Oryctolagus cuniculus: one gene and its partners. The protein of the gene in region 6 purifies or fractionates together with the protein of the main gene of each other region. This does not show direct contact. Links are inferred from orthologs where the notes say so. Each region holds a gene or a part of one and is shown on either strand. Other genes may lie near its edges. The genes, in order: PHF1, PWWP2A, SIN3A, SAP30L, CUL4A, RBBP7 and BACC1.

Region 1 (4,341 bases), on a different chromosome or scaffold from region 6:
ATTAGCATTTGCCCAAAGAGGAAAATATTTTTCATATCCGTTAAGACAGGAGCTGTGGAGGTGCCTATCCAGCCATGTGTTTGTGGGCTAGGAATTAGGGATTAGGTTTCTCTCTTTAAACTTTTCTTTTCTGAAAGGAGACCTGGAAAGCTAGTTCACTCCCCACATGCCCGCCACAGACAATGCTGAACCAGGAGCCCAGAACTCAACCTGGGTATCCCACCCATGTGGGGGGCAGGGACCTAGGGTGCACAACAGCACCTGGAGTTGGAAGCCAAGCTGGGGCAACCGAACGTGGGATGGGGGTCGCAACCCGAGCTGTGTCTTTTTTTTCTTAAATTACTTGAAATGAAGTTAGAGGGGCAGATCTTGCACCCGCTGGCCCCCAAGTTGCGTCTTAACCGCTAAGCCAAACGCCGGCCTCGGGCTTTCCTCACCTGCTCGGGATCATCTGACTCCCTACGCGCCCTCCCCCGTCGCCACTTCCTTGAAGGGTGCCGCCTGGTTGTCCAGCACAGCCACTGATGGAGCTCCCCTACGACGGGCACCCGGGCCCTGCGGCGGTGCGGCGCGCGCTCCCACCAACTGCAGGCGCTGTCCTCCCGCCCTTTCCTGCCTTCGCGTTCGAACCGCCGGGGCGCTGCCCTCCTGCTGCCCATTGGCTGGCTCTCGGCGGCGTCACCGCCCCGGGTACTAGCCCTCTGCGTCCCGGCGCCCGCCCCGCAAGCGGGAGGGTGCGCATCCGCGCCGACCCCTCGCGCTCCCCGATGTCGGCCGCCGCCCGGCAGGGGAGGGGCTCGGCCTTCCCAGGTGCCGTGCGCGGGAGGGGCCACGCGTGCGCAGAGCCGCGGCGGGAGGGCGGGGGGCCCGCGGGCCACGGGGAGGGCGGGGCCGGGGCATCGGCGGGAGGAGGGCGGGGCGAGGGCAACGGGAAGGGTGAATGGAGGGCGGGGCCGCGAACTGGGGCCCGGGGGCGGGACTTGGAGTGACCACGGGGGGTGGGGCAGCTAACGGATGTAGCATGGGGCGGGGGGCCAGTCTCGAGGCAGGCCGCCGGGAGGGGGATTCCCTCTGGCCCCAAAGGCGAGCCTGCCATCCGGGGAAGGGGCCGCGGGGATTCCCTCTCCTTGCCGGCTCGACTATTCGCGCCCCGAACCGCTGAGGGGCAGCCGCTCGCTCGCGCCCTCCAGGCCGCTGGAGGTGAGGGAGGTGGGGTGAGGTGGTGCCCGCCCCCCCTTCGGCTCCTCCTTCCCCAAGTCCTCCCCTCCCAGCCGGTCCGTCCCTCCCCTCCCTCCTTCCCTCCCTCCCCCCGCCGCCTCCTCCTGCCGCTGCCGCTGCTTTGGCTGCTGCGTCATACGCCCCAGAGCCGCCGGGACGGAGGGGCTGGGCCTGGGGACCCCCCGGCCTCCGCCTGCACGCCCCCGGGCGCCCGGACGTGCCCTCCCCGCGCGGGGGGCTCACCTGGGTCTCAGACGTCTGCCCCTGCCTGGCTCCCGGCGGCCCCAGCTGTCACCGGTAAGGAGGCGGGCAGGAGGCGCTGGTGGGGGGGGGACAGGGAGCCCGGGGGTCGGCGCGCAGGGCGCGGGCGGGAGAGCCTTGCCGCTCTGGCCTCGGGTCGGGCTGGGCCGACTCCAGTGCCTTCTCGGACTTGCCGTGGTGGGGAGGAGAGAGCGGGACTGGGACACGCCCCCCTCCCAGAGCACTCGGGGAAGTTACCTAACCCAGGGGCAGGAAGCCCCGAATTTGAGGGTGACCTGACATAACCGGGCACCGGATGATTGTTCTGTGTGAGACCAGCAGGCCGGGGGACAGCTGTTTCTACTCTGGAAAACACCTCCAGAAACGCTCCCTAAACACATGCCTGGGCAACAGTACCGCGGTGGCGATATGTCTAAGCAGAGGGGAGGGTGAAGCTGAGTAGCAATCTCTGCTTCTCCAGCCATCATTTCTCCTCAAATCTTAAGACCGGGCTGTGCTATCCCAGGAGAGCGCTCGGTTTTGGGGAGGGTGGCCAGGAGAAGTGGCCACCAGAGTTGGAAGAGTTGGGAGTCCGGACACTGAGTGGCTTCCCGTCCTAGTGTCCCAGGGTTTGGAGACCAGGCGTGCAGAGACTGATCCCTGACAGAAAACTAGGCAAAGAAAATGGGCACGCTTCCTCAGCATTCCTCACCATCTCCTTCCCGCCTCATTTCTGGCCAGGCCCCCCCAGGATGCGATGGCGCAGCCCCCCCGGCTGAGCCGCTCTAGTGCTCCCTCACTTTGGGACCCGGCGTCCCCGGCCCCCACCTCAGGCCCCAGGCCTCGGCTGTGGGAGGGTCAAGATGTGCTGGCCAGATGGACTGATGGGCTGCTATACCTGGGCACCATCAAGAAGGTAAGCCCTTCCTCTGACCTCTCACCGTCCCGTTCCCCTTATCTAAGTCTGGCTCCCTTTTCATCCTGTGTTCACCCACCCCAGGTGGACAGTGCTCGGGAAGTGTGTCTGGTCCAGTTTGAGGATGATTCCCAGTTTCTGGTTCTGTGGAAAGACATTAGCCCTGGTGAGACCCCAGAAACCTCAGCCTGCAGCCTATGGCAAACAGAAACCTGGCATGGGGGGGTACAGAGGGCCTCGAGGGCAGGCCTCCTGACACAGGGTTCCCCCACAGCCGCCCTCCCTGGGGAGGAACTCCTCTGTTGTGTCTGTCGATCTGAGACCGTGGTCCCTGGGAACCGCCTGGTCAGCTGTGAGAAGTGTCGCCACGGTAAGAGGCAGGATACCTGTGGGAGAGCTTGCCCTGGGCCTGCCAGCCTGTGTCTAGCCTGCCCCTCCAGCACTGCTCCTGTGTCACGTCGCTTCTTCTGGCCCAAGTCCCCACGCCACTGCTCTGGCCAGTCTCCTCAAGACTGAAATCTTGCCCCCTTTCAGCACAGGGAGAGGCAGCCATGGAATGAAGGTGGTATAAGTTTAGCAAGCAGAGGTGATTCAAAGACATCTCTCTCTAACCATGTGACTTCAGGCAAGTCCCTTAACCTCCTGTTCTCTCACTTGTAAAATAAAGATAATACTTTCACGCTGGCAGAACCGTGGTCAAGGATTAAATAAAATGGGTAAAACTGTTCCTACCCCAATACCAAGCACACATGGGCATGCAATAAATAAGTGGTCTACTATCAACATTATCATTATTCAGCTTATCACCAGGACTGCCACGTTCCCCGGGCCCCAGCCCCTGGAGAAGGAGAGGGCACATCCTGGGTCTGCCGCCAGTGCATCTTTGCGATCGCCACCAAGGTAAAGGCACCCTCCTACTGCGCCTCTCCTGAGCCTGTCCCGCCCACCTCTGAGGCCTCCCGCCTGCTGTATCTCTGCAGAGGGGAGGGGCACTGAAGAAGGGCCCCTATGCCAGGGCCATGCTGGGTATGAAGCTGTCTCTGCCGTACGGACTGAAGGGGCTGGACTGGGACGCCGGACATCTGAGCAACCGACAGCAGAGCTACTGCTACTGTGGCGGCCCTGGGGAGTGAGTAATGAGAGGTGGCAGATCCCAGGGGGTGCAGGAGTTAGAACAGGGTGAGGGGAGGACGGGGGATGGGAGGTAGGTGCCGAGCAGGGTTTGGGGCAGTTAGGGGGAAGAGGGTGTCTGAGGCGACTCGTCCCGTTTCCCTCAGGTGGAACCTGAAAATGCTGCAGTGCCGGAGCTGCCTGCAGTGGTTCCATGAGGCCTGCACCCAGTGTCTGAGCAAGCCCCTCCTCTACGGGGACAGGTGAGGGCGTGGCGGATCCTCAGGGGGCCAAGCTGCCCCGCCCTGTGCTCCACACTCTGCATTTCCTCGTCTGTCCACCCTCCTTGCTTCTGAGCCCTCCATGGCATGGTTTTCCACAAGGTGACACGTCCTCTTTCTCTTGCCCACATCCAGGTTCTATGAATTTGAATGCTGTGTGTGTCGGGGAGGCCCTGAGAAAGTCCGACGGCTACAGCTTCGCTGGTAAGGTGGACTGAGCCTGACCTCAGTGTAGCTTCCTTCCCAGCACCCTCCGCGTTGCACCCTACATACCCCAGCCGCCCATCTCAATCCCCTGGCTTTTGAAATGCTTCTTGTGGCCTTGACAACTCCGTGTTTCTCCAGGGTGGACGTGGCCCATCTTGTCCTCTATCACCTTAGCGTCTGCTGTAAGAAGAAATACTTTGATTTTGACCGCGAGATCCTCCCCTTCACCTCTGAGAACTGGGACAGTTTGCTTCTGGGGGAGGTAAAGGGATAGTGGCACTTTTAGGTTGGGGTAGGACAGGGAGACAGAGGCTAGGGGAAGGGAGGGCATTACTGCTCCCCTGACCCCATTTGTCTTCGCCGCCCCAG
Region 2 (3,755 bases), on a different chromosome or scaffold from region 6:
CTAGATGTGAACCTCTAATAAATTGTCTGAAAAATCAGATTACTTAAATGAATTTTAGGCCTGAGAGATGGCTAAACTTTATTGAGCTGTTAATTCTGACTTGAATCCTTCAAGGTAGGAAGTGTTATTCAGGATAGAAGTTTTGAGGGTACAAACATTTGATAGGAGATAGCTATGAAAGGTTATTCAAACATGAAGGTAATGATGGTTTAGTTGTTTGCATAGCTAAACAAAGAAAATGCCCTTATCAGAAATGTGACTGGTCAATGGGGTGAAATGGTCTATGAATTCGAAAAATGTGTTAATACAAATAGTGGTCTCACTTCAGATAAGTCAACAGTATGTTTTGTATAGTAAAACACAAAAATCTCCTCTTTTGTCATCTTCAATGACAAAAGGTTAAATGATCATAGTGCTTTGCATTTAGGAAGCAAACAGTTAACATGTGATGCTAGAATAAAAAGTAACTTTCTGGGAAGTCTGCAGTGAGGAGGGAGTCTTTTCCTTCTTGGTCTATCCCAGACCCAAGCTTGTCCTGTGTTAGGTGGACTTCCATCATTCACACATATTTGCTGTAATGTTAATTTGTGGCCAAGGTAACAGACTAGGAAGAAAAGTATTTAGGCATTAGAATCAGGTATGTGGTGTGTGTACATAGGGTCTTTCTCATTTCATATGTTTAGGGATGTCTCCAAGTGCCAGAACCTAATCTCAAAATTTCTTCCTAACAAAGGTATTCTCAACTTCGTTTTACAGCATTAACTTGTTCTCTAGGAAAAAAAAAAAGACAAAAAAAATAAAAAGGAAAGAAAATATTTGGGTCTAGTTTCAGGGGTTCTACCTTGATTACCTGATTCTTGGGTTCTAAGCACTTTTACTTTATGATTGATGTTAGAATTATATTCTGTTAAATACTTTTTTAAAAAAATTTATTTATTTGAAAGTCAGAGTTACACAGATAGAGGAGAAGCAGAGAGAGAGAGAAAAGTCTTCCATCCGATGGTTCACTCCCCAATTGGCCGCAATGGCCGGAGCTGCGCGGATCTCAAGCCAGGAGCTGCTTCTGGGTCTCCCACGCAGGTGCAGGGGCCCAAGGACTTGGGCCATCTTCTTACTGCTTTCCCAGGCCATAGCAGAGAGCTGGATTGGAAGTGGAGCAGCCAGGACTGCTCATATGGACACCCATATGGGATGCTGGCACTTTAGGCCAGGTCATTAACCTGCTGCACCACAGCACCGGCCCCCTATTAAATACTTTTAAACAGTCAACAAGTATCTTATAAAGTTATTTATTGGGTGAAACTTTTGCTTAAGTGTGTATATTCATGCATATTTACTTGTAAATTTTTAATTCGATTTTCCATTTTGAAGTTGCCTTTAATGAATACATGTATACAGACACAAACGTTTTTATTGGGTTATAATGGGAAAAAATTTTGAAGGTTTATTCATTTGAAAGGCAGAGTTACAACAAGAGAAGGGAGAGACAGATCTTCCATTTGCTGCCTTACTCCCCAAATGGCTTCATTGGCTAGGACATTCCTGGCAGAAGCCAGGAGCCTGGAAATCAAGTCTCCCACATGGATTGCAGGGGCCCAAGCATTTGGGCCATCTGCTGCTGCTTTCCCAGGCACATTAGAAGAGAGCTGGACAGGAAGTGGGCAGGTGGGACTTCAACTGGTACTACTCATGGGATGCTGTCATTGCAGGCTGTGGTTCAACCTGATGTGCCACAGCAGCGACCCCGGGAAAATATTATTTAAAAAAAATTTTATTAATGTGGAATATAACTCTAAAAGCTTGAAACCCTGTCGTCTTTGGAGGTAATTTGAGTTTCTTGATTTCTGGTGTGTTTGGCTTCTTTTACAGGCAGACTGGGGAGCCTTGAGTTAAGGATGTAAGAGTAAAGGAGCAACTTCTTTGGAATCTTTAGCTGTTAATAAGTAAAGAAAAGATGGGATTTTACTGATGGAGTATTTTTGGGTAATTAGCTGAATCCGAGTTTTTTTATTATTACTTTAAAAAAACCTCAGAGTTGGAGAGAGAGATTATCCTTCCACTGGTTCACTCCACACTTGGCTACAATAGCCAGGGCTGGGCCAGGCCAAAGCCAGGATCCAGGAGCAGCTTCTGGGTCTTCCGCATGAGTGTCAGGGGCCCAAGCACTTCTGTCATCTTTCACTGCTTTTCCCAGGCCATTAGCAGGGAGCAGGATCAGAAGTGGAGCAGCCGGTATATGAACCAATGCCCATGTGGGATGCCAGCATCATAGTAAATGTTGGCCCCTGAATTTGAGTTTTAGGTTTTGAAAGCTATTTTAACTAGACAAAGATATCTGTATGTTAGAAATTTATGCTTGCATTTTCTGAAAGTGTTATATATGCTTCAGTGTTATAGCACATGATATTTACTATTAAACTATCCTTTCTGATTGAAAACTGGAGTGGTCCATTTTAGGTAAAATTAGCTTTTCTGGTATTGCCTTCGATAAACATTTGGAGTGTTTCTGTTTTTACCTGAAGTGAAGAACCAAAATAAGTGAGGTCTTTGAGCTTTTGGGAAAGTTAGCCAGTAGATTCTTGTGTTGGTGCTTTACTTTTTATATGAAGTAGTTTTCAGGAAAGATCATATAAAAAAAACAGGAAGTGTTCTTTATGTGTAAGAAATTGAATTACAGATAACTAACTTGATGACTTGTGTTTTATTTTTTTCAAAGGTTTGGGCCTCATGGGATCCCTGTGACAGTATTTCCCAAAAGGGAATATAAGGATAAACCGGAAGCCATGCAGCTGCAAAGTAACACATTCCAAGAAGGGATAGAGGTCAAGCGCGAAGTGAATGGTGCTGCTCCTGAGGACCCTTCTCCTCTCCCACCACCTGAGCTGAACTTGGCTGAAAGCTTGTGGACTTCCAAACCACCACCTCTCTTCCACGAAGGAGCACCTTATCCTCCCCCTTTGTTTATCAGGGACACATATAACCAATCAATACCTCAGCCACCTCCTCGGAAAATTAAGCGACCCAAACGAAAAATGTACAGGGAAGAACCCACATCAATAATGAATGCTATTAAACTACGCCCCAGGCAAGTCCTATGTGATAAATGTAAAAACAGTGTTGTTGCTGAAAAAAAGGAAATTAGAAAAGGTAGTAGTGTAAGTGACTCTACTAAATATGAAGACAAAAAGCGGAGAAATGAAAGTGTAACTACTGTGAACAAAAAACTGAAAACTGACCATAAAGTGGATGGGAAAAACCAAAATGAAAGCCAGAAAAGAAATGCCGTGGTTAAAGTTTCAAATATTGCTCACAGCAGAGGCAGAGTAGTTAAAGTTTCTGCTCAGGCAAATACATCAAAAGCTCAGTTAAATACTAAAAAAGTGCTCCAGAGTAAGAATATGGATCATGCGAAAGCTCGGGAAGTGTTGAAAATTGCCAAAGAAAAGGCACAAAAGAAGCAAAGTGAAACCTCTACTTCCAAAAATGCGCATTCAAAAGTCCATTTCACACGTCGCTATCAGAATCCTAGCTCAGGTTCCCTTCCTCCCCGGGTTCGTTTAAAACCACAGAGGTACAGGAATGAAGAAAATGACTCTTCTCTGAAGACGGGACTTGAGAAAATAAGGAGTGGCAAGATGGCGCCCAAACCCCAGTCCCGCTGCACCTCTACCCGCTCAGCAGGTGAGGCCCCTTCAGAAACTCAGAGTCCCTCAAAAGGCCCTGAAGAGGCCAGCAGTGAGGTTCAGGACACAAAT
Region 3 (3,755 bases), on a different chromosome or scaffold from region 6:
AGTCCAGCCATTTGCAGAAGACTCGATCCTGACAGGTGTTAGCCTCCGTGGGGATTAGCAGACTGCGGGGCCTTTCTTGGCTGCCCGGGTTAGCCAGGCTCAGTGTGCATCTTTGTGGCACGGTGCGAGTCCTCACTCCCGACCACTGTGCCTGCCAGCGGGGGGCAGCAGCCTCCTTGCCCATTGGCGCCGGCAAGGGCAAGGAGCAGTGAGTTGTGGGCTGTGTTTGAGGGATGACCTGGGGAAGGTGAGTTCCTGTATCAGTCAGGACGCTGTAAGACAGCTTCCAAGTCCAGGGACCTGGGAAAACGGGGTTCATGTCCAGCTGGGGACTTGGCTCTGAGGATGACCGCATCTGGTTGTGAGAGGGAAAGAGCTAAGAAGGATCTGAGATGCCGGAATGCTCCCACCCGGAGCAGTACCAGGACTTACACTCGTCTCACAACTCGGTTGCCACACTAGATACGGGGCCCCGTGCGATCGTGAGAGATTTAGAGAGTTCAGTCCGTTGCTCATCCATAATTGGGAGCGGGGTCCTGGAACAAGAAAACGTGGGGGACACCTTTGCACACTGCTCATTGCTGCACCCTCTGTCCCTCATTTAGACTCTGTGTGAAACCTTGGAGACGGGTAGTCTAAGGCGTGCAGTGCCAGATGAGCGAGACCTCTTCCAGAAAATAAGTGGCCAGAGTAAGAATTCAAGTGGTTACCCCCAGATAGAATGTGGACTCCACGAGAAGTGAGCGCCAGCGCTCAGACTACTGCTGGCTGTGGAGCAGGCTGTGTTGAGTGGTGTTTGGTGAGGGATTTCAGCAGTGCGTGACGCTCAGGGAGAGTGGCAGCAGGGTGGCTCCCGTGTGCCCCTCTGGTCTGTAGGGTCAGCTGTGGAGAGCAGGGCACAGTGCTGTGAGGGACCACCGCCGCGTTCTCGTCTTGGCTGGACGTGTCTGAGTGCCAGCTGCTGTGCTGGACTCTTCGTGTAGATCGTACAGTCAGTCCAGAACAGCCTCAGGAGGACCCCGGGTGCTGCCGCCTTTGGACTGTGCTGCAGTGGCAGAGCCGGGCTTGGTCAAGGAGGTGAGCGTCCAGCCCGGGTCTCTGACCCCGCCGCTCTGTTTTGGTTTGGGTGCTAAGCACCTTTGTTTCTCTCTCCAGCTGGATGTAGTTTTGGAGACCAATCTGGCAACCATCCGGGTTTTGGAAGCAATACAGAAAAAGCTTTCGCGCTTGTCTGCCGAGGAGCAGGCCAAGTTCCGCCTGGACAACACGCTTGGCGGCACGTCGGAGGTGATCCACCGCAAAGCTCTGCAGAGGATATATGCCGACAAGGCCGCCGACATCATCGATGGCCTGCGCAAGAACCCCTCCATCGCCGTGCCCATCGTCCTCAAGAGGTGCCTGGGCCGGGCCCTTCTGCTGTCCTGTGCTGCGCCCAGGCTCAGGCTCCCCTTCAGAGCTCCTGCTGGCCTGAGTGTCTCCCCAGCCCTGGTTGTTGGAAATTGGGTACAAGCAGGAGAAGGGACCTTGTTGTGAAGGTTCTGTGTAACCAGCTGTAGAGAGCAGGTGTGGGGCTGTTGTGAAACACAGGGAGAGCCGGCCGGCGCGCGGCTCACCAGGCTAATCCTCCACCCGCGGCACCGGCACCCCAGGTTCTAGTCCCGGTCGGGGTGCTGGATTCTGTCCCGGTTGCCCCTCTTCCAGTCCAGCTCTCTACTGTGGCCTGGGAAGGCAGTGGAGGATGGCCCAAGTGCTCGGGCCCTGCACCCACATAGGAGACCAGGAGGAAGCACCTGGCTCCTGGCTTCAGATCGGCACAGCGTGCCAGCCGTAGCAGCCATTTGGGGAGTGAACCAATGGAAAAGGAAGACCTTTCTCTCTCTCTCACTGTCCTAACTCTGCCTGTCAAAAAAAAAAAAAAATACAGGAAGAGCCAAGAAAGAAATGACCCATGTTCCTACCGTTCAGTCCTAGCTGTTATGAAGATCCTGGTGTGTTTTATAATAAAAAATCACTCTTCGTAGAATTTTTTTATTTATTTGAAAGAGTGACGGGGAGAGAAAGAAAGAATAGATGTTTTCCATCCACTAGTTCATTTCCCAGAGGGCTGTAATAGCCAGGGCTGGGCCAGGCCCAAGCCAAGAGCCCAGAACTCCATTCTGAATGCCCACACAGGTGATAGGGACCTAAGCACTGGGACCATCTGCTGCCTTCCCAGGTGCATTAGCAGGGAGCTGGATTAGAAGCAGGGTGGCTATCACTTGAATTGGCACAGCATCACAGGCCACGGCTGCGCCTTCCGTGCCACAAGAGTATTTGTAAAAATTGAGACATGCTCGTGAAAACAGTGTTTGCCATTTTTACCAAGAATGTTTGTCCTGATAGACCAGGCACGGTTGGGTGTGGAGGGCTGAGTACCCACCTAAGGCTTCAAGCAAGAGACCACAGGCAGGGCTGAGCTCCAGCGTCCTTTCTAAGTTCATGGCATTCCTTTTTTTTTTTTTTTTTTTTTAATTCTTTATTGGTTTTTAATATTTGAAAGGCAAAGAGACAGGCACAGACTTCCCATCTGTTGGCTCACTTCGGGAATGTCTGCAGTGCCGGAGGCGGAGGCCAGGAGCTGGGAACCCAATCCAGGTCTCCTGCATAGGTGTTAGGGACCCAGCCACTCAGGCCGGCAGCACTGCCTCCCAGGGTTGCATTGGCAGAAGCTGTGTTGAAGTTGGAGGCCAGAACTGGATGTTGAACCCAGGTCCTGGCAGGCGGATGTAGGCCAGTTGCCTGCCCCCATTGGTACTCTGACCGTGCTGTGACGCTTTGGCTAAGAGCTAAATCCTCTCGGTATCACCTGGCGAACGTTGATTGTTTGCTGCACAGCTCACACAAGTCCAGATTTTACCTTTCGTCCCCAGCCTTCCCCTAAAGAGCAGGCACACGCTGCGGATTATTCCTCTAGCCAGTAGTGTTTGACGTGTGGCTTCTGAGGTGCAGATTAGCCTTTAGTTCTGGTGCTGTGTTGGTTTTCATTCTTCCCTGGAGCCTCAGAGTCAGGGACTCCGCTTGGAGCTTTGCGGACTGTGTCCAAGTGTAGGAGAGGGCCTAAGGCTCTCCAGCTGTCTGAGGCAGAGAGCCCCTTCTTGAAGGAAATGCACCCTCGCCCCAGGGGGTTTTCTGGGGTGCTGTTTGGGAAGTAACTAGATTAGATTTGTGGTTGTGGCACCAGTTACTGCCTCAGAGTGCGTCCTGAATGGCTGATTCGCCACGTGACAGTCCAGGCCGGGTCTGATGACATTTGCCCCTCGCTGTGAAGGACTCCAGCAGCCCTAGTGATCTTTGGGTTGGAAGTCAGCCTGGCATGCCTCTCCCTTCTGGGCCTGAGTTCCCACTTGTCGCTGTGTGCACCTCCCTCCCACGCAGGCTGAAGATGAAAGAGGAGGAGTGGCGAGAAGCTCAGAGGGGCTTCAACAAGGTGTGGCGAGAGCAGAACGAGAAGTACTACCTGAAGTCTCTGGACCACCAGGGCATCAACTTCAAGCAGAACGACACGAAGGTGCTGCGGTCCAAGAGCCTGCTCAACGAGATCGAGAGCATCTACGACGAGGTGAGCAGCGGCTCCGCGCTGCGCCCTGCCCCCTGCCGCTGCCTGGCCGCCCCAGCCGCCCCGCCCCGCCGCTGCCTGGCCGCCCCGCCCTGCCGCTGCCGCCACGCCACGCCGAGCCTTCCTGTGTCGCGGTTCCCACCCTGCTCCACTCTCCCGT
Region 4 (3,755 bases), on a different chromosome or scaffold from region 6:
TGCAGTGAACGTACAAACTGGCAACTCAGGGTCGCGGTCGCTGACTGGAAAACAGAGGGCAAGGGACCACCCACCATATTTTTTCCCTAACACAGCAAGAAAAGAAAGCTACACAGTCATGAAATATCGAAGGCCCATCAAGCTGGGCTGCCTTTACCTGCCTCTAAAAGGGATGTTCTTGCTTCAGGCAGGTGGAGAGCACTTAAAAACAAAATGAACGATCAATATGACGGACAAAAGTCCTTCATTCTTTTCAAAACATTCCTTAAACCTTTTTCTGTGTGTGTGAAAAGCAGTTAGAAATTGAACACATCCATTTCTTTAAAAATAATAATAATACTAAACGCAACAGAATGGTGCCGTAAACTAACGCTGGAAAAGGGGACCCAGGGAGGGGCAGGGGCAGGGGCAGGGGCAAGTGCCGGAATTTTCAAAGGTTTCCTCCACATCTGCAGACAAAGGCCCGCCTACTCTTTCTATTCCTACACAGTCATTTTCACTCTGAGTGCTAACAGGCAGTTGCCTTATGAAATATTCATGCATCAAATATTCAATGTACACTATAAACGGTTCTTCTTTTGCTGAGTCTTATGTGAAAACAATTTAGAAACAAAGAAAATCCAATATCCTTTCCTGGAGCCTCATGTAACAGACACTGGCACCTTGAAGGCACCATGGTTTGAGAAGCCCAGGTCTCATGATCTAGTGCAGTGGCTTTCAACACAGGACCACTGTATCCCCTGAAAGGCATTTAGCAATGTCTGGAAAGCTATTTTGACTGTCATAGCTCAAGGTATGGTATGACTGGCATCTAGTGGGTAGAATCCAGGGATCCCACTATACATCCTACAATGTATAGGACAGTCCCCCAGAATAAGAATTATCTGGTCCCACACGTCATAAGTGCCAGAGCTGAGAAACTCTGGAGCAGGATAACTGACTATGGAACAGATCCTTGGGAACCAGCCTGTACCAGGAGTCATGGAATTAGAGAGTGACAGAAAATAAGAGCTGGTAAGAACTGACGAATTTACACCTTCATCTTACAGACCACAAAACCAAGGAATAGATATCACCAAATCCTACACACTCAGTCTCTAAAGGCAAAAATAAGATTTTAAATATGTTGACATGGTGGTTGCATTTAAGCATCTTGTGAGGGCCTTCTTGAAGAAAGAAGTATGGTCTCCTGGAAAGGACACTAGAGCAGAGCTTCCCAACTCTAATCACGGATGTGACCTGCAGTCTCTGAACCTGTAAGACGACGGGACAGTCAGACCGCTGGATTTCCATGCTTTTACGTTCTCAGATTTAATATTATGACTCTACGATTTGCTTTCCAAATAAACCACTGGAGAACAAAGGGAACTAAAATTACTTCTTAGCACAAACGCAGGCCAGGGATAAGTATCACATTAGAATTCATTCCTCCAGCTTTCTCGAGCTGCTATGTTTTGGCCTTTACCTCAGGAATGTCAGTGTCGTGTTCAGGAGAATCTCCACCATCGTCACTTGTCTTCCTCTTCCTTTTATTTCGGACACTCTGGATGAAATTTTTGTGGAAATCACAGATATACAGGTGCCTTACCTAATAGGGAGGAAATTAAAGTCAGGGTTGCCAATTCCATAGAAACTGTAACAGGCATCTGTCAAATGATGGGGCTGTTTTTCTTTGTGGGGCATTGGAGAGAGACAGAGGAGTGGGCTATACTTCCGGAAGCTCACCACTGAACTGGAAAACTAGAACACACATGGAGAAACCAAGTCACCATTGAACTGTAAAGACACTGAGCAAAGGAAAAGATCCCTGGTCAATCGGTGTGGAGGCTCCCGGCTCTGCAGGCAGAGGGGAAGGAGAATCAAGACTCAGAAGTCATCATCCAGTTATGATGACAAAGGGGTGAATGAGGAGGCCCAGGGCACACAGCATCAGTTGGGTGGTAGTGACTGTCTGTGTAGGGGCTCAAGAACAGTTTAGATATTCCTTTAGATAAGACAGACTCCCTCAAGGTTTTTGAAGCAAGGAGTGATGTGACATTTCCAGGTCTATAAAAGTCATGACTTTACAATGGGGCTGGAACATGCTGTCCTGGGAGAAGGGAAGCAGGCAAGATGGGCTGTGATAACAGTCCATGGGACACCCTATTTTAACACTGAGATAGTTACTATTGCAGGATAGTTCCTTAAAATTCTTTATTAGCATGTATCACTAAAATTTTTTTTCATGTATCAGTCTAATTCTTGTATTACCTCACATATGATCTACCAGGAGAGAGAAAAATGTGGAAATTCTCACAAAGTGGAACAACATAAAAGAAGCTGGATCTTACTGCTTATTTCCTAATACAAGCTGCAGATATTCTGGCAATGAGGTGGTAACATCAGCTAAGATGTGAAGAATATGTATATACGTACTATGTTTTTATTTAAAGATATAAGTACCAGGGTTGGCGGAGGAACCATTCCAAAGCCTTAAGAAACCTAATGCCTTTATAAATGACTAGGGGTTGTTGATGTTGAAACAGCTGCTACACAAATGTTCTGGAGAGATTTAGGAATTTAAGTCTATTCCTTAAATCCTTAAAGATAAAAGTAAGCTGACAGGAAATTAGCATCAATTAAGTCAGTCCTTTTTGTAAAGAAAATAATGAATGAAAACTTCATTTAGTCAGATGAATTACCAATTCTGTGTGGTTAGATTAGTGAGCTATACACAGTTTTAAGTTTACATCGTGGTGGTGTTTAGTAGACAGCAGGTACTCTATAAAAGCATCCATAAGGCAATCTCCATAGGCCACATGAAGAAAGGTCACCACTTTCATGGTTATGAAATGGAATAGCTTTGCCAGATTCAACTCCATCAAAGGATCTTTTCGACAGGGCACAAGCCATTATCCCAAAGAATCTGACCTAGCCGATTTACACTTCATACATTATATATATATATATATATATATATATATATATATATATATATATATATGAAGGTACTTCAAAAAGTTCATGGAAATATGTTATGAGAAAACTATGTATGTGCTTCAAATCTTTTCACACCAAAATAAAGTTTTAATGCCATCTTTCCATGCAGTTTCTTTAGTGCCCATGTACTACTAGACATGATTTTCTCCTGTAAGTACACCCTGAATTCCTGATAGGAACCTGGTCCTCCACGTTAGCTAGGCTGGCATGTGAATGTTTAGAGACCAAGCCGCAACTCAAATTCAGAGTGACAAGCATGGTGGTGTAACAACAGGCAGATTAGGTGATTTCCTAAAGCTTTGGCTGGGAGACATCAGGTCTTAACATTAGAATAATGGAATCCTAGCTGGAAGAGAACTTAGCAATCACCAATGCAAACTCATTGGCCCCAATCTCAATTTCTAGAAGGGTAAACAGAAAGGACCTGACCAAGGTCACTAAAGTATTCTAACTCTGGGTACATGTACTTTCCTAGGCTACATTTTTTCCTTTATTTAATTCTCAGTTCCACTTTTCTCCAGAAAAAAGAAAAAAAAAACAAAATACATCAATTGGAGAAATGTTTTCAGGTATACTTAGTCTGAATGTCAGAACATGGCTGACAACTACATAAAATGAGTCAAACTGCCTGCGTTAGATTTTTGATGTTGTTACAAAGGTTTTCTGCTAGACTCGTCTGTTTCTCCTTAACCATTTTCAAGTACATGCCAATTTGAACAATTCAGAGCTTTTGAGGGTGGGGCCTTCCGGGTGAGAAGGAGGCAGGAGCGTGGCAG
Region 5 (3,445 bases), on a different chromosome or scaffold from region 6:
TTTTTGTCCAGGTTGAGGAACAGGTTAGCACCACTGAGCGGGTGTTTCAGGATCGACAGTATCAGATCGATGCTGCCATCGTCAGAATAATGAAGATGAGGAAGACGCTGGGTCACAATCTCCTGGTTTCTGAGTTGTATAATCAGCTGAAGTTTCCGGTCAAGGTGAGTGTAGCGTGGGCGCCTGAGTGCGTGGTGCTGTGCCAGCAGCCGTCCTGGGGCCCAGATCTGTGGCCTCGGTCAGTGGTGATCGTCTGCATGCAGTGTGCTGGGGGACAGGGCTCTGGCCGGCGTATTCCACTGGTGCCTGTTTCAAGAAGGAAGGGCGGATGTGCCGTGGGTGTCTGGACAGACTTCTCAGCGGTGCTCGCGGGGTTGCGAGGAGAGGGCAGTGAGAACTCCTGTTCTGCAGTTAGCAGCCACAGAGCATCTCAGCCTCAGGTCAGGTGTCCGTTCTGACCCCCAGCGCCGAGTCACTGCCCTGCACGTGGGACGCACGCAGGCAGGGCAGCATTAAGGAGACCCAGCAGGTGTGTGGTCAGCCCGGGAGTCACGAGCTCTGCCTGCCACCAGCTCCCAGTCCCCTGGCCCTGTGCTGTGGGAACTGGGGACACCGTGGGACAGCGGCCGGTGCTTGAGCCCTGTGCCCCCAGAGGTGACGTGCATCAGCGTGAAACACTGTCACGGCTGCTGCTGTCCTCCCCCACGCCAGGGCCGGTGTCCGCGCTCCTCTGTCGGCCCAGAGGCCCGACGAGCAAGTGCAGGGCTGCGTGGCCAGCCCGGCACGCGGCTGCCCGAGCTCCTGCTCTGCCTTTAAGGGAAGTGCGTTTCCCACTGTGTCTTAACCGCGTGGCCCGTCGCCGCAGAAGGGTGCCCTGTGGGAAACCCTGTGGAGGGAGAGCCTTGCTCATGCACTCACATAGGTGCTTCCAAATGCGGTGGACTGGGAGGTGCGCAGGTGGCAGGGCCACTGGAGTTTGTATCATGCGGTGCGGACACAGTGAATGTGGTCAGTGAGTGGTAACAGAGCCAGTGCCCAGGGACGGGGTCCTTCCGCACTCGCCTGCGTGCGTGGGGCCTCCCCTGCTGTGCACGCGCCGCTGAAAGCAGGGGCTGCGTATGCTCCTGCACCCCCGGGACACCACACTGAGGGCAGTCAGATTCTCTTAGGTAGAAAACGGCATTCGTTTGAGCGTTGCCTGTGTGCAGTTAGAGGGATGTGTGCACAGTGCGTGTGCAGTGGCAGTGATTCTGGGACAGCATCGCGTCACGTGTGAGTATTGGCATGCGTGGCACCCCAGTGATCGGGGACTCTGCTTTGCTTTTTCAGCCTGGCGATTTGAAGAAGAGAATCGAATCTCTTATAGACAGAGACTACATGGAGAGAGACAAAGACAATCCCAACCAGTACCACTATGTGGCGTGACGTCAGCCGTGTCTGCGTTAGAGAAACACTAGAATGTATCTTCAGAGCGACGGGGCGCCTCCACGCGTCGCCGGGACTCTGCTGGAGCCCGCTGTGGGCCCTGGACGAGACGGGAGAGCGCTGATTCTGGGCTGTCCCCACAGGGCTTGGGTCTCCAGACGGCATAAGTATCTTTTCCCCCTCTGGTTCTTTTAGGCATTTAAATTGTTCCTATTGCTTTGTGCAGACTGAGACGCTGGTTAAAGGCGGCCCTCAGAAGGTCGTGTTCCCGGGGCAGGAGCTGAGCTGCTTCGGTTCTGTGTGTGTGGTCACGAGTGCGCCGAGAAGACCCTACATGCTGCATTTCGCTCTAAAGATGCCTGAAGCCACGCCCCTCGTGCTCCACCGGCCGCCCAGTGATGCAGCCTCAGCAGCCCGCACCTGTGTGTTCTGTTTTTCCAAACGTTTCGGGCTTTTTGACTGGATTCCTGAAACTCGGGTTTCAGGCGAGGGCCGGGGCTGCCAGCACCTTCAGTCCCGCCCAGCTCCGCGCGCTGTCGGTTGAGGGCCTGGGGGTTCGTGTGTTGGTGTGTTCATTCTAAGATTGAGTCTAGCAGTCCCTGGTTTTTGGCATTGGGGAAACTGCTGTTTGATTTTTTTAAATTGCAGTATTTGTATGATTACTATAATAATAAAGTCAGGTTTGGTTTTTACAGTCCTGTGCAGGGACAGCCCTCGTTCTCTGCTCTACCACTATTAAAAAGTTTTCTAGGAGACTTGAAGTCTTGACATTGTGAAACAGAAGTTATTTTGTCAAAAGATTAAAAGGCTTTTGTTGGTATCTGGCTACGTGTGTGTGTGGGTGGGTGTGCGTGGGTGCGTGTGCGTGTGTGTGTGTGTGCGCGCAGCCCAGCAGCTCCCTGGAAGCTCCGTGGGGGTGTCAGTGTGTGACTGTGATCACATTTCAGAGTGCTTTCTGTTTGACATAAGAGCATGTTTCACTTTGATTCAAAGCTACCAAAGGAACCTTGATCATGGTATAAGTATTTAAAGCAATATTTTCTGGAATACACCAAGTTTATATAATTTGATTTTGTGGTAAATTATTAAAAGATTCTTCGTTTTTGAAACATGCGTGTTTAGGATATGACATCCTTTGGGTTCCCATCTTAAATCCTTATTCTTCATTATTTCTATATTTGTAAATTTTTGTTTATGAATTCTGATATGTGGTGTGGGAGAGACCAGATAGACTTCTACTTCTACTTCTTCAATTTTAAGTTCACTGTGTCTGGAGATTGTTAATGTAATTTATGTGGACTGACTTCGAATAGTCTAACAGGCCTTAAAATCGCAGTAATAAACTCTGTGGTATGCAAATGGCACGCTCCTCGTACCTCTTCAGCCGGTGCTCCGCCGTCTCCAGGGCGGCAGAAGCAGGGACGCGGCCCGCTGGCCGCCCCGCCACGCGTGGCCCACTGCTCGGGGGAGTATGGCTCATTCAGTGCTTGTTATGGGTCGGCGGGCACGGGGAGTCGCTGGCGAGGCAGGTGCACAGGAAAGGAGAGGGAGAAGCCGTGAGAGCCGCGACAGAAGGAGCGGGCCACTAAGTCCCCTGTATGCCTGCAAGGCGGGGCACTGGCACGATGGTGAAGTGACCGTGTGAACGGCAGAGGCCGCCTTACCCGGGCCGGGGGCCACCACACAGGGCAGGGCTGGGGTTTAGTTGTGATGGTGACCGTGTGCAGGGAGCTGTGGCTGCTCAGGGCCGCGGCAGGGCAGACCGGAGAGCTGAGAGGACTGAGTCAGGAGGGCTGTCCAGTAGGGGTCCCATGGGGTGGTCAGGACAGGGCTGCTGGGCCCTGGGGAATCAGAGGGGATGGACACGCCCTGCCCAGGGTGGAGCAGGCCAGGACAGACCCCGGTTGCCCCATCTAAGGTGTGGAGGAGGTCAGTGTAGTGGGGGCACGGGCGGCGGCCCGGGGTACAGGCTGCCTCCAGCCCCTGGGGGACACCACAGCCGAGCAGGACGTGCAGACCA
Region 6 (3,495 bases):
TTATACCTGCACCAATTTTTAGTACATTTGTGCTTTCCCCATGAGTCTTTAAAGGTAAAGAAGGCCCTTGAGAGTAAACTGCACAGAAGGTGCTCAGTAGGTCCTACCTTGTGTGTCCTTTTAAGGCAGCTAGTTACCATGCCGTAGCAACTCAGGGTGTACTTCTCAGTAAACCGTGGCACTAGCCAGACCACATACAAGGGCTTTATTCTATATTGGGCAACCTATTCCAAAGAATCCGTTTTGTGAAGCAGCACTTCATAGTTTTTAAGTATTTTCTAGGAAAGGCATCGCTCCCAGCTATTTTTGTCCTGCTATTTTCACTTATTTTAGTGACAGCTTTGAGTTATAATTCACATACCATACAATTCACTTACTTATACAATTCAGTGTTTTTTAGTATATTCAGAGTTGTACAACCATTTCCACAAGTCAGTTCTAGAACATTTTTTGTTCCTTCAAAGGGAAACTGCCTAATACTCACCTCCTGATCTTCCCATGGCTCCCAGCCACCATCCGTCTTTGTCTCTAAGATTGGGCTATTGTAGGCATTTCATATAATGGACTCATAAAATATGCGTTCCTTGTGACTGATTCTTTAACTTTAGCGTGATGTTTTCAAGGTTTCCAGCTTTTTTTTTATATATATAGCAGAGACGGCAAAGTTTATTACTTTGTACATCATGGCTTTGCAACCGTTTCCTGGAGGTCCTTGAAAATCCTCTAGGACTTTGTTCTTTTCACACACACACAAACCCTGAAATCGGGACATTTGAGTAAACTGTATACTATCATGTCAATATGACAGTGTCTTGCTCTGGTGACCCATATTTTGAGCCATATTTTTACTTGTATACCCCATAAGTGTTTTTGAGAAACTGTTATACCCTCAATTTGTAAACTGATAGAATACTAGCTAAAATAGTTACATCGCATGTAGACTAATTGACAGAGACCTCATTGTCTAAGCAGTCAAAGCAGACTTTGTCAGAAAGTGTGCCTTTTGTATTGTCCTTGACAAGAGCTGTTGCTCTGAATCTTAATGCAAAGATAAGATACAGGGCCTTCCTGTGAGGTTCTCTTGTGGGAAAGCAGACGCTACCCCTTCAGCAAAGCTCTCTGCTTAGGCCTCCATGGGAAACCCTGGAGATATGCTTTTACAGCCCCAGGGGTTGAGGTTTTTTTCTTAACTTGGGACAATGTACCTTTGGAAAGACTGGGGGAGGGTATGAGGTCTGCATTTCTTTTAGTAAAGGTAGAGACCCAGGAGACTCCTTAGGCCTATGTGGGACAGATTGAGCCTGTTGCTGCCTTCCCTCTCAATTTTGTGACAGTTGTTCTCGCCACCCCCAAAAATGATACTCTCAAAACTAAAATTTTTAGCTATTTGGAATAATAGAAGATGACATGAAACCAGGACCCTTTTTTGTTCTTATTAACAGTTTATTCATGGAGGACACACTGCCAAGATCTCAGATTTTAGTTGGAACCCCAATGAGCCTTGGGTCATCTGCTCCGTGTCTGAGGATAACATCATGCAGATATGGCAAATGGTGAGCGGAAATGTTTTTTCACAACTGTCTCATAAAGGAGATTTGCTAGTGATATAAAAGATGCACATTCTACAAAACCAGTGTTGAAACATTGCAAAAGAATATTTTCCATATTAACACAATCTTTAGTTCGATACTGGTACTTTCTTGATCTGCAGTTTGTAGCACCTGTTGGGTTGGGAGAAATGTCTGTAATGTCTCTATATGAGCACGCTGGTTGCAGATGCAGCACCTGCTCTGATTGTTGTGCTCTTCATCCAAGGCTGGCTGGATACCTTTGTCTCCAGGGCCTGTGCTCTGTCATAGGTGTGGAGACAAAAGGGGAACATCAAGATGTTCAAGTCATGCTGAGTTCTTTGAGCACTTGACCAAGTCTTTCATAAATAACATGGCCATAGCTCCCTCTAAATGATGCTTGAAGGACTTTTGGAAAACACTTTTTTTTTGACAGGCAGGTTTAGACAGAGAAAGGTCTTCCTTTTTTCCGTTGGTTCACTCCCCAAATGGCCACTATGGCCGGCGCACTGCGCTGATCCGATGGCAGGAGCCAGGTGCTTCCTCCTGGTCTCCCATGGGGGTGCAGGGCCCAAGCACTTGGGCCATCCTCCACTGCTTTCCCGGGCCACAGCAGAGAGCTGGATGGGAAGAGGAGCAACCGGGACAGAATCTGGTGCCCCGACCGGGACTAGAACCTGGTGTGCTGGCGCCGCAGGTGGAGGATTAGCCAAGTGAGCCGCTGCGCCGGCCAAAAACACTTCAATGAACAGTGATCACAGGATGGCTAGGCATGTAAGTGGAATTACATATTGCAGACTACAAAATCTTTAAAATGTGTCCATGTTTAATTTCCAACACTGAAATACATTGATCAGTGAACTAAATTTTGTTGGTGATTTTGTAAAGACATTGTGGAAGAGTTTTACCTGTGACTTTATTTGGTTGTTATCTCCAGGCCGAAAATATTTACAATGACGAAGAGTCAGAAGTCACAACATCGGAACTGGAGGGACAAGGATCTTAAACCCAAAGTATGAGAAGTTTTCTGTTGAATGTAATGGTAACATGAAAGAATGCTTGATTATCAAGCACCAAAAAGGCATTGTATAGTAAGAATTGTTAAGTGGGATGGCTTATGGCGTTCTTCACCCTCTGATTCTAGCACTTTCAAGTGAGCTATTGCGTACTGTATCATATTGTAGCTGTTAGGGAAGAAAAGAATGTTGCGTAAGAAAGAACATCACCATTGTTTTAAGATCCTAAGTAGCAGGGTACTACTGCCTTGGGTTCAACTGTTTAAGTCCTCATTTTCTCAAACTAAGTGCTTGCTGTTCCCAAATATGCAACAATAACTTTTACACTTTTTCCTTCCAACACTTTCTTGATTGGCTTTGCAGAAATAAAGTTTTAAAATAAACTTTGTTTCATTCTTTTAAAAGGTCAGGGTGAGTGCTCACGCATTTTTGAGCAGAAAGGACAATGGGTACCTATGGACTTCCTACACAGTTGAGGTCACATGAACAACAAAAGAATACACAGAAACTGTCAAATTTATCATACATATTTACTTAATCTATACAGAATTGAGTAGATAAAATCAGATTCACATTAGTGAAAAATCTCTACAAAATGTTTTTGAAAAGCAAAACAAGACTGCCTCTTAACAATTCGTATCCTCATGAAAGACGTGGGCTGTAAAAATAAAGCAGTGTGTTTAGCACAAACTAGAAGATAATCTGCATCATTTTTTTCACAGTTATTTCCATCTACAGTCTGAAAGAGGTAGATTTTTCTGCAACACCTGAGAGTTGAATTGTGATAACCAGGTGTAATAAAGGCAGTTGCATACATAACTAAAAAACAATGGTCTTAAGACCAAGAAATGTACTCCTACAAGTCCGAGGATGAAGGAGGTGGTCTGTTAACCCAGACCCAAGTTTTTGCT
Region 7 (4,333 bases), on a different chromosome or scaffold from region 6:
GAGAAGTGACTCAAAAAACATCTGGGGCCTTGTGATAAACTTCTCATGACGTGGTGGTGGTGGTGGGGTGTGTGTGTGTGGGGGGGGGCAGTGATGAATGCGCTGCAAACAGGCCCTTTAAAATCCCCAGGGAAGTTTCAGGACTTCTGCCTGCCAGAGGCCCTGGGACTACGTCCTGGCTCCAGAGAGCAAAGTGGAGTCTTTGTTGCCTACACCCAGCTCCCCTGGCTCTAGCAGCACAGAAATATTGGCACCGGGAGGCGAGTCTGCCAATATTGGCTGTGCTGCTCCAGGCGGGGTGGCGAGAGCTACTGGGAGGGGCTGGGCCCCTGAGGGCCGAGGCCAGGAGAGGGAATGGCCCTCTCCTGTTAATAACGTGAGCCCGACAGCACCAAGCTGAGAGACAAATCTTTATTGTTTTCTGTATAAAAATGTCCATCAGACAGAGGTCAAAGGGCTTGGGGCGGATGCTCGTCCAGGACCAGCCAGGCGGCCAGCCCCAGCAGCCTCTGCGCCTCTCTCGGGCAGGCCTCGCTCAGAGTCCCAGGCGATCCACAGGTCCAGGCGAACGGTGAGAGGGCTCGGAGGTGGGAGGTCAGCAGGAGAGCAAAGGAGCTTCAGCGCAGGTCTTTAGGCGGCCAGAACCCAGGGTCAGGCTGTCTGGAACAGGAAGGAGAACAGACCGAGATGGAGCGGGCCCCAAGTAGGCCTCTGAGACAGTGTCCCGGCCCGGCCGGCAGAGTGCACAGGGAAGGGCTCCTGCTGAGATCCTACCCCGCCCCCAGCTGGTGTGGGAGGAGGGGGACTCCTACCCTGGTGGAAGTTGAGTTTCTTGGCCGGAGGAGTTTCTCCCAGCCCTTCAATATCCACCAGGTCGCTATTGGCGTCCGAGTCGTTCAGAGCACTGAGCGTCACGTCTGCGAGGGGGGCACAAGCTAGGCTCTAGGTTCCCGACCACCCCGAGTTCTGTGCTCACCCCATCCGCCCCACCCCCTCCCCCTCTGCCCACCCAGGGGAGAGGAAGCCAGAGGGAGCGGAAGAGCTGTCTTGCTTCGCCCAAGGCCCAGTTCTCTCACTGAGCCTCAGATGGGACCTCTCGCGCCGAGGCAGCGACTCCACCGCCCTCACCGGACTTCTGTTTCTTTACAGGGGGGGCCCCGGCGTCAGGGACGCTGCAGCTGCTGGGCGGGGGGGCAGCCGGGGGAGGCGACAGGACCCCAGAGGCCACCTTCTTGGGCCCTTTCTTGGGTGACTCAGCTGGAAGCGCAACGCCAGAGTCTTCATACACCTTGCGTTTCACAGTGGCCTTTATCTGAGCCCTGAAGAGAAGACAGCCGGTTAGGGAAGGAGTGATCACCAAGTGGGGAGGGTGGGGGAGGAGGGAGCCTCTTCGCAAGAATTTTTGGTGGGGTTCTTTTTCCTGCAGCTTTGCCCTCACACCGGGCGGATGGATGTGAGGAGTGGGCTCCCTGAATTGAGTACGGGGAAAGGCCCACCCCTCCTGAGTCTCTCCTGGGAGAGAGGTGTGGCTGCAGAGGGCCACCAGGTAAGATGGAGACTTATTCATAGATCCCAAGCAATATTCAGAACCGCAATATTCCTGGAAACACTGTGGGAGAATCTCAAGAGATCTGTCGGATTACCCAGGGAACCTTGTGGGTCAAATGCAGTGATCGTGTCTCTCAGACAACCTGAAATCAGATTCTTGGAAGGCCCTCATTGCCAGGGCATTTTTGGGATGTCTGACCAACGTGACCATCCTTGTGTGTTTGCAGTCCTCAAGGGAGGACACGGAGCTGCAAGGGACTTGTGATGAGGGTGGAAGGAAGGGTGAGGGGAGGAAAAGGGCCCGCCCCCCGTTCTCTGCCCGCCTCCCTCCCTCACACGGTCCGTTCCTTGATGACACAGCTGATGTGATTAAGATCGTCCCCAAATCGTTTCACAGCAGCCCTCAGCATCTCTATCTCGGTGTCCGTCCACTTGGCTCTGTCGGGAGGGGAGAGGGGTCAGCAGAATGGGGAGAGGCGTGGAGCGAGCCGGCTGGCGGGGCCACAGCCGGCCAGTCGCCGCCTCCCGGTCTCTGGGGCCCCGGTCACGGATCCATAGAGAGGCCCTCTGTAAGGAGAAGAAAAGCTTGGAGGACCCCCCGGCTGCGGGAAATCGGGACACCTCGGACCACCTCTCTCTCCCATCAACGTGAAAGCCTCGCAACCTGCACCCTAGCAGTCTGCAGCAGCCCGAGGAACGGGAGTGGGTGGTCGTGGCGGGGGTACGACGGGGAAGTAGTGCGGGGCGGGGCCTGTCTGCATCTGTCACTCACTCACTCGACGATCACTTATTAACACCTGCTCCGGCTGTGCCAGCCACAGGGAAACTAACCGCTGTCCCTGCGCTAGAGAGGGTCCGCGTCCGCGTGGAGTCCGAGCGTCCGCCCTCAGCGTCCACGTCCCAGCCCGGGCTCACGTACCCCGCGGGAGAAGAGTCGGCCACGGGATGCAGTTGCATCGTCAGCTCCCCGAGCTTCGTGAAGGCGGCGCCCGCCGCAGAGAAGATCTCCCCGACCTGGGGGCGGGGCAGCATGACAGGGGGCCGGCGCACACCCCCGCGCCGGCCCGCCCGGAGCCCCTAGCCCCACCCCGGCTCGGCTCCCGCCCGCCCCCCGCCCGCGGCGGAAGAGCCGGGAGCCAAGCGGGGGACCCGCCCGCCCGTGGCCGCCAGGGAGCGCTGTCCGCGAGGGAGGTCGAACCTTTGTGGACGCTGACGTCATGGCCCCGCGCACCTCCTCAGGGAGACGCTGCCGCCGCCGCCGCCGCCGCCGCCACGCGAGCCGGGACCACGGAAGGAGCCTGGCTGCCGCGCCGCTCCGGGCTCCGTGCAGGAAGTCCCGCCCTCCCCGCCGCTGATTGGCCCAAGCCCTGCCGTTCCCGCCTCACCGACCGCAGTCACTGGGGCCGCCCGGGCGCGCCGAGGGAAGGAGTGGTGGAAGGCGTCGCCTCACTTCCGGTCAGCCCCATTCCATTTCCGCCCGGGGGTCGGGGTTCCCGGTCTGAGTCTGACCTCCGGCCCGCCCCCTCACGCAAGCACAGACACAAGTTTTAAGAGAGCAGCTTCTCTTTATTGTGGTACGGGACGAGGCTGGGAGGGCTGGGGAGCCAGGGGGCGGCCAACCCAGGCTCCCTCCGCTGGGGCTGCCAGAGGCCGGCGGACAGGGGTTCAAGACTGGCCGAGGTGGGGGGCACCCAGTCCCGCAGAGCGCGCCAGTGACCTGGGCCGGGGAGAGTCTTATAAATAGAGGACGGGGCTGGCGAGGGCAGCAGGGACCCTGCTCTAGCGCACCATGTATTCCTTGCGCTTATTGAGCCGGACTTGGCAGAAAGAGAAGCCTCCCAGGAGGAGGTAGAGGCCCGCGGCGATGAAGCAGTTGTAGCTGACTTGCTCATAAAGCTTGTATATGTTCTGGGGGCCGTTCCTGGAGGCGCGGATTAGGCAGAGAAACGGCGAGCGTTAATAGCAGCCAACACTCAACGGCGCAGTTCCTGTGCGCCTCGCTGTCAGTCCTACGGGGCGAGTGCCACAGTGCCCGCTTTGCAGAGGGGGACTGAGCTGGGCGTACGATGGCCGCTGAGGCCTGACCCCTACACGGCTGGCCAGCTGCTTCCTCCAGCGCCCCCAAGCATCCCGCCCTTAAGTCAGACTTTAGCCACCTGCCCACCTCCCCACCCGACTACTTACTCAAAGTCTTTCTCCGTGAAGGGAACGTCCTCGATTAGCACTGCAGAATGGACATTGAAAAATATTCCGAGCATTATCTTAAAAAAAAAAAAAAAAAAAAAAAAGGAATGGGTAGATTGTAGGACTCAGGCACCTGACTTCCTGGTTACCCCCTAAACCCCTTCTATTTCTAATATTGCCACAACACCTGGGCCTGGGATGGACCAGAATGAACCAGGATTAGGGGCGGCTGCTGCCGGCTTCGGACTCAGCCGCCTGGAACAGGGCGTGCGGTGGCGATGCCGAGACGGGTGATGGGACAAGCGCTTTCCCAGGAACCCACATTGTCCTCCTCCCCAGAAGCGTCACCCTCACGGGACAGGGCGGAAGACGTGAGGGAGGACCGCCACTTCTTCAAATCATTTCTTCTGGAAGTGGGGGCGGGTGGAGCCCGCTACCCTCTTCGGGAACGAGCACCCCTTATGCCCTGTACCCTCCGTTCGACCCAAGCATCTCTCAGGACCCCAACCCCAGCTCCCATTCTAGGCTCCAGTCCCACCACCCGCTAGGCTCCAGTTCCCTCTTCTGCAGCCTCAGTTCGGTCTCGTTTCGCACCAGCCCC

The links.
Region 1: the proteins of RBBP7 (region 6) and PHF1 purify together in Homo sapiens (affinity purification with mass spectrometry; 7 studies listed by BioGRID and IntAct, with this or other methods). This does not show direct contact. The link is inferred for Oryctolagus cuniculus from reciprocal best matches to the Homo sapiens genes RBBP7 and PHF1.
Region 2: the proteins of RBBP7 (region 6) and PWWP2A purify together in Homo sapiens (affinity purification with mass spectrometry; 3 studies listed by BioGRID and IntAct, with this or other methods). This does not show direct contact. The link is inferred for Oryctolagus cuniculus from reciprocal best matches to the Homo sapiens genes RBBP7 and PWWP2A.
Region 3: the proteins of RBBP7 (region 6) and SIN3A purify together in Homo sapiens (affinity purification with mass spectrometry; 8 studies listed by BioGRID and IntAct, counting the BioPlex papers as one, with this or other methods). This does not show direct contact. The link is inferred for Oryctolagus cuniculus from reciprocal best matches to the Homo sapiens genes RBBP7 and SIN3A.
Region 4: the proteins of RBBP7 (region 6) and SAP30L purify together in Homo sapiens (affinity purification with mass spectrometry; 3 studies listed by BioGRID and IntAct, counting the BioPlex papers as one, with this or other methods). This does not show direct contact. The link is inferred for Oryctolagus cuniculus from reciprocal best matches to the Homo sapiens genes RBBP7 and SAP30L.
Region 5: the proteins of RBBP7 (region 6) and CUL4A purify together in Homo sapiens (affinity purification with western blotting; 4 studies listed by BioGRID). This does not show direct contact. The link is inferred for Oryctolagus cuniculus from reciprocal best matches to the Homo sapiens genes RBBP7 and CUL4A.
Region 7: the proteins of RBBP7 (region 6) and BACC1 purify together in Homo sapiens (affinity purification with mass spectrometry; 3 studies listed by BioGRID). This does not show direct contact. The link is inferred for Oryctolagus cuniculus from reciprocal best matches to the Homo sapiens genes RBBP7 and BACC1.

Annotation. Positions count from the first base shown.
Region 1 is NC_091436.1:135,735,364-135,739,704, reverse strand, and holds the start of PHF1 (PHD finger protein 1), read left to right. Parts: upstream 1-1,320; 5' UTR 1,321-1,515; intron 1,516-2,199; 5' UTR 2,200-2,215; coding exon 2,216-2,374; intron 2,375-2,458; coding exon 2,459-2,540; intron 2,541-2,648; coding exon 2,649-2,744; intron 2,745-2,908; coding exon of another isoform or gene 2,909-2,999; intron 3,000-3,173; coding exon 3,174-3,274; intron 3,275-3,354; coding exon 3,355-3,503; intron 3,504-3,651; coding exon 3,652-3,747; intron 3,748-3,900; coding exon 3,901-3,969; intron 3,970-4,110; coding exon 4,111-4,234; intron 4,235-4,341. UniProt on the Homo sapiens protein: Polycomb group (PcG) that specifically binds histone H3 trimethylated at 'Lys-36' (H3K36me3) and recruits the PRC2 complex. Involved in DNA damage response and is recruited at double-strand breaks (DSBs).
Region 2 is NC_091437.1:47,036,218-47,039,972, reverse strand, and holds part of PWWP2A (PWWP domain-containing protein 2A), read left to right. Parts: intron 1-1,481; exon of another isoform or gene 1,482-1,983; intron 1,984-2,716; coding exon 2,717-3,755. UniProt on the Homo sapiens protein: Chromatin-binding protein that acts as an adapter between distinct nucleosome components (H3K36me3 or H2A.Z) and chromatin-modifying complexes, contributing to the regulation of the levels of histone acetylation at actively transcribed genes.
Region 3 is NC_091443.1:108,567,879-108,571,633, forward strand, and holds part of SIN3A (paired amphipathic helix protein Sin3a), read left to right. Parts: intron 1-1,155; coding exon 1,156-1,394; intron 1,395-3,414; coding exon 3,415-3,598; intron 3,599-3,755. UniProt on the Homo sapiens protein: Acts as a transcriptional repressor. Corepressor for REST. Interacts with MXI1 to repress MYC responsive genes and antagonize MYC oncogenic activities. Also interacts with MXD1-MAX heterodimers to repress transcription by tethering SIN3A to DNA.
Region 4 is NC_091437.1:41,399,305-41,403,059, reverse strand, and holds part of SAP30L (histone deacetylase complex subunit SAP30L), read right to left. Parts: intron 1,589-3,755; coding exon 1,466-1,588; intron 1-1,465.
Region 5 is NC_091440.1:693,363-696,807, reverse strand, and holds the end of CUL4A (cullin-4A), read left to right. Parts: intron 1-11; coding exon 12-164; intron 165-1,329; coding exon 1,330-1,425; 3' UTR 1,426-2,784; downstream 2,785-3,445. UniProt on the Homo sapiens protein: Core component of multiple cullin-RING-based E3 ubiquitin-protein ligase complexes which mediate the ubiquitination of target proteins. As a scaffold protein may contribute to catalysis through positioning of the substrate and the ubiquitin-conjugating enzyme.
Region 6 is NC_091453.1:3,004,328-3,007,822, reverse strand, and holds the end of RBBP7 (histone-binding protein RBBP7), read left to right. Parts: intron 1-1,442; coding exon 1,443-1,553; intron 1,554-2,505; coding exon 2,506-2,574; 3' UTR 2,575-2,967; downstream 2,968-3,495. UniProt on the Homo sapiens protein: Core histone-binding subunit that may target chromatin remodeling factors, histone acetyltransferases and histone deacetylases to their histone substrates in a manner that is regulated by nucleosomal DNA.
Region 7 is NC_091448.1:51,719,673-51,724,005, reverse strand, and holds BACC1 (chromatin complexes subunit BAP18), read right to left. Parts: upstream 2,992-4,333; 5' UTR 2,768-2,991; coding exon 2,747-2,767; intron 2,563-2,746; coding exon 2,468-2,562; intron 1,987-2,467; coding exon 1,885-1,986; intron 1,320-1,884; coding exon 1,129-1,319; exon of another isoform or gene 1,010-1,128; intron 918-1,009; coding exon 813-917; intron 661-812; coding exon 596-660; 3' UTR 398-595; downstream 1-397. Other genes in the region: RNASEK (ribonuclease kappa), read right to left, coding at 3,328-3,469, 3,733-3,809. UniProt on the Homo sapiens protein: Component of chromatin complexes such as the MLL1/MLL and NURF complexes.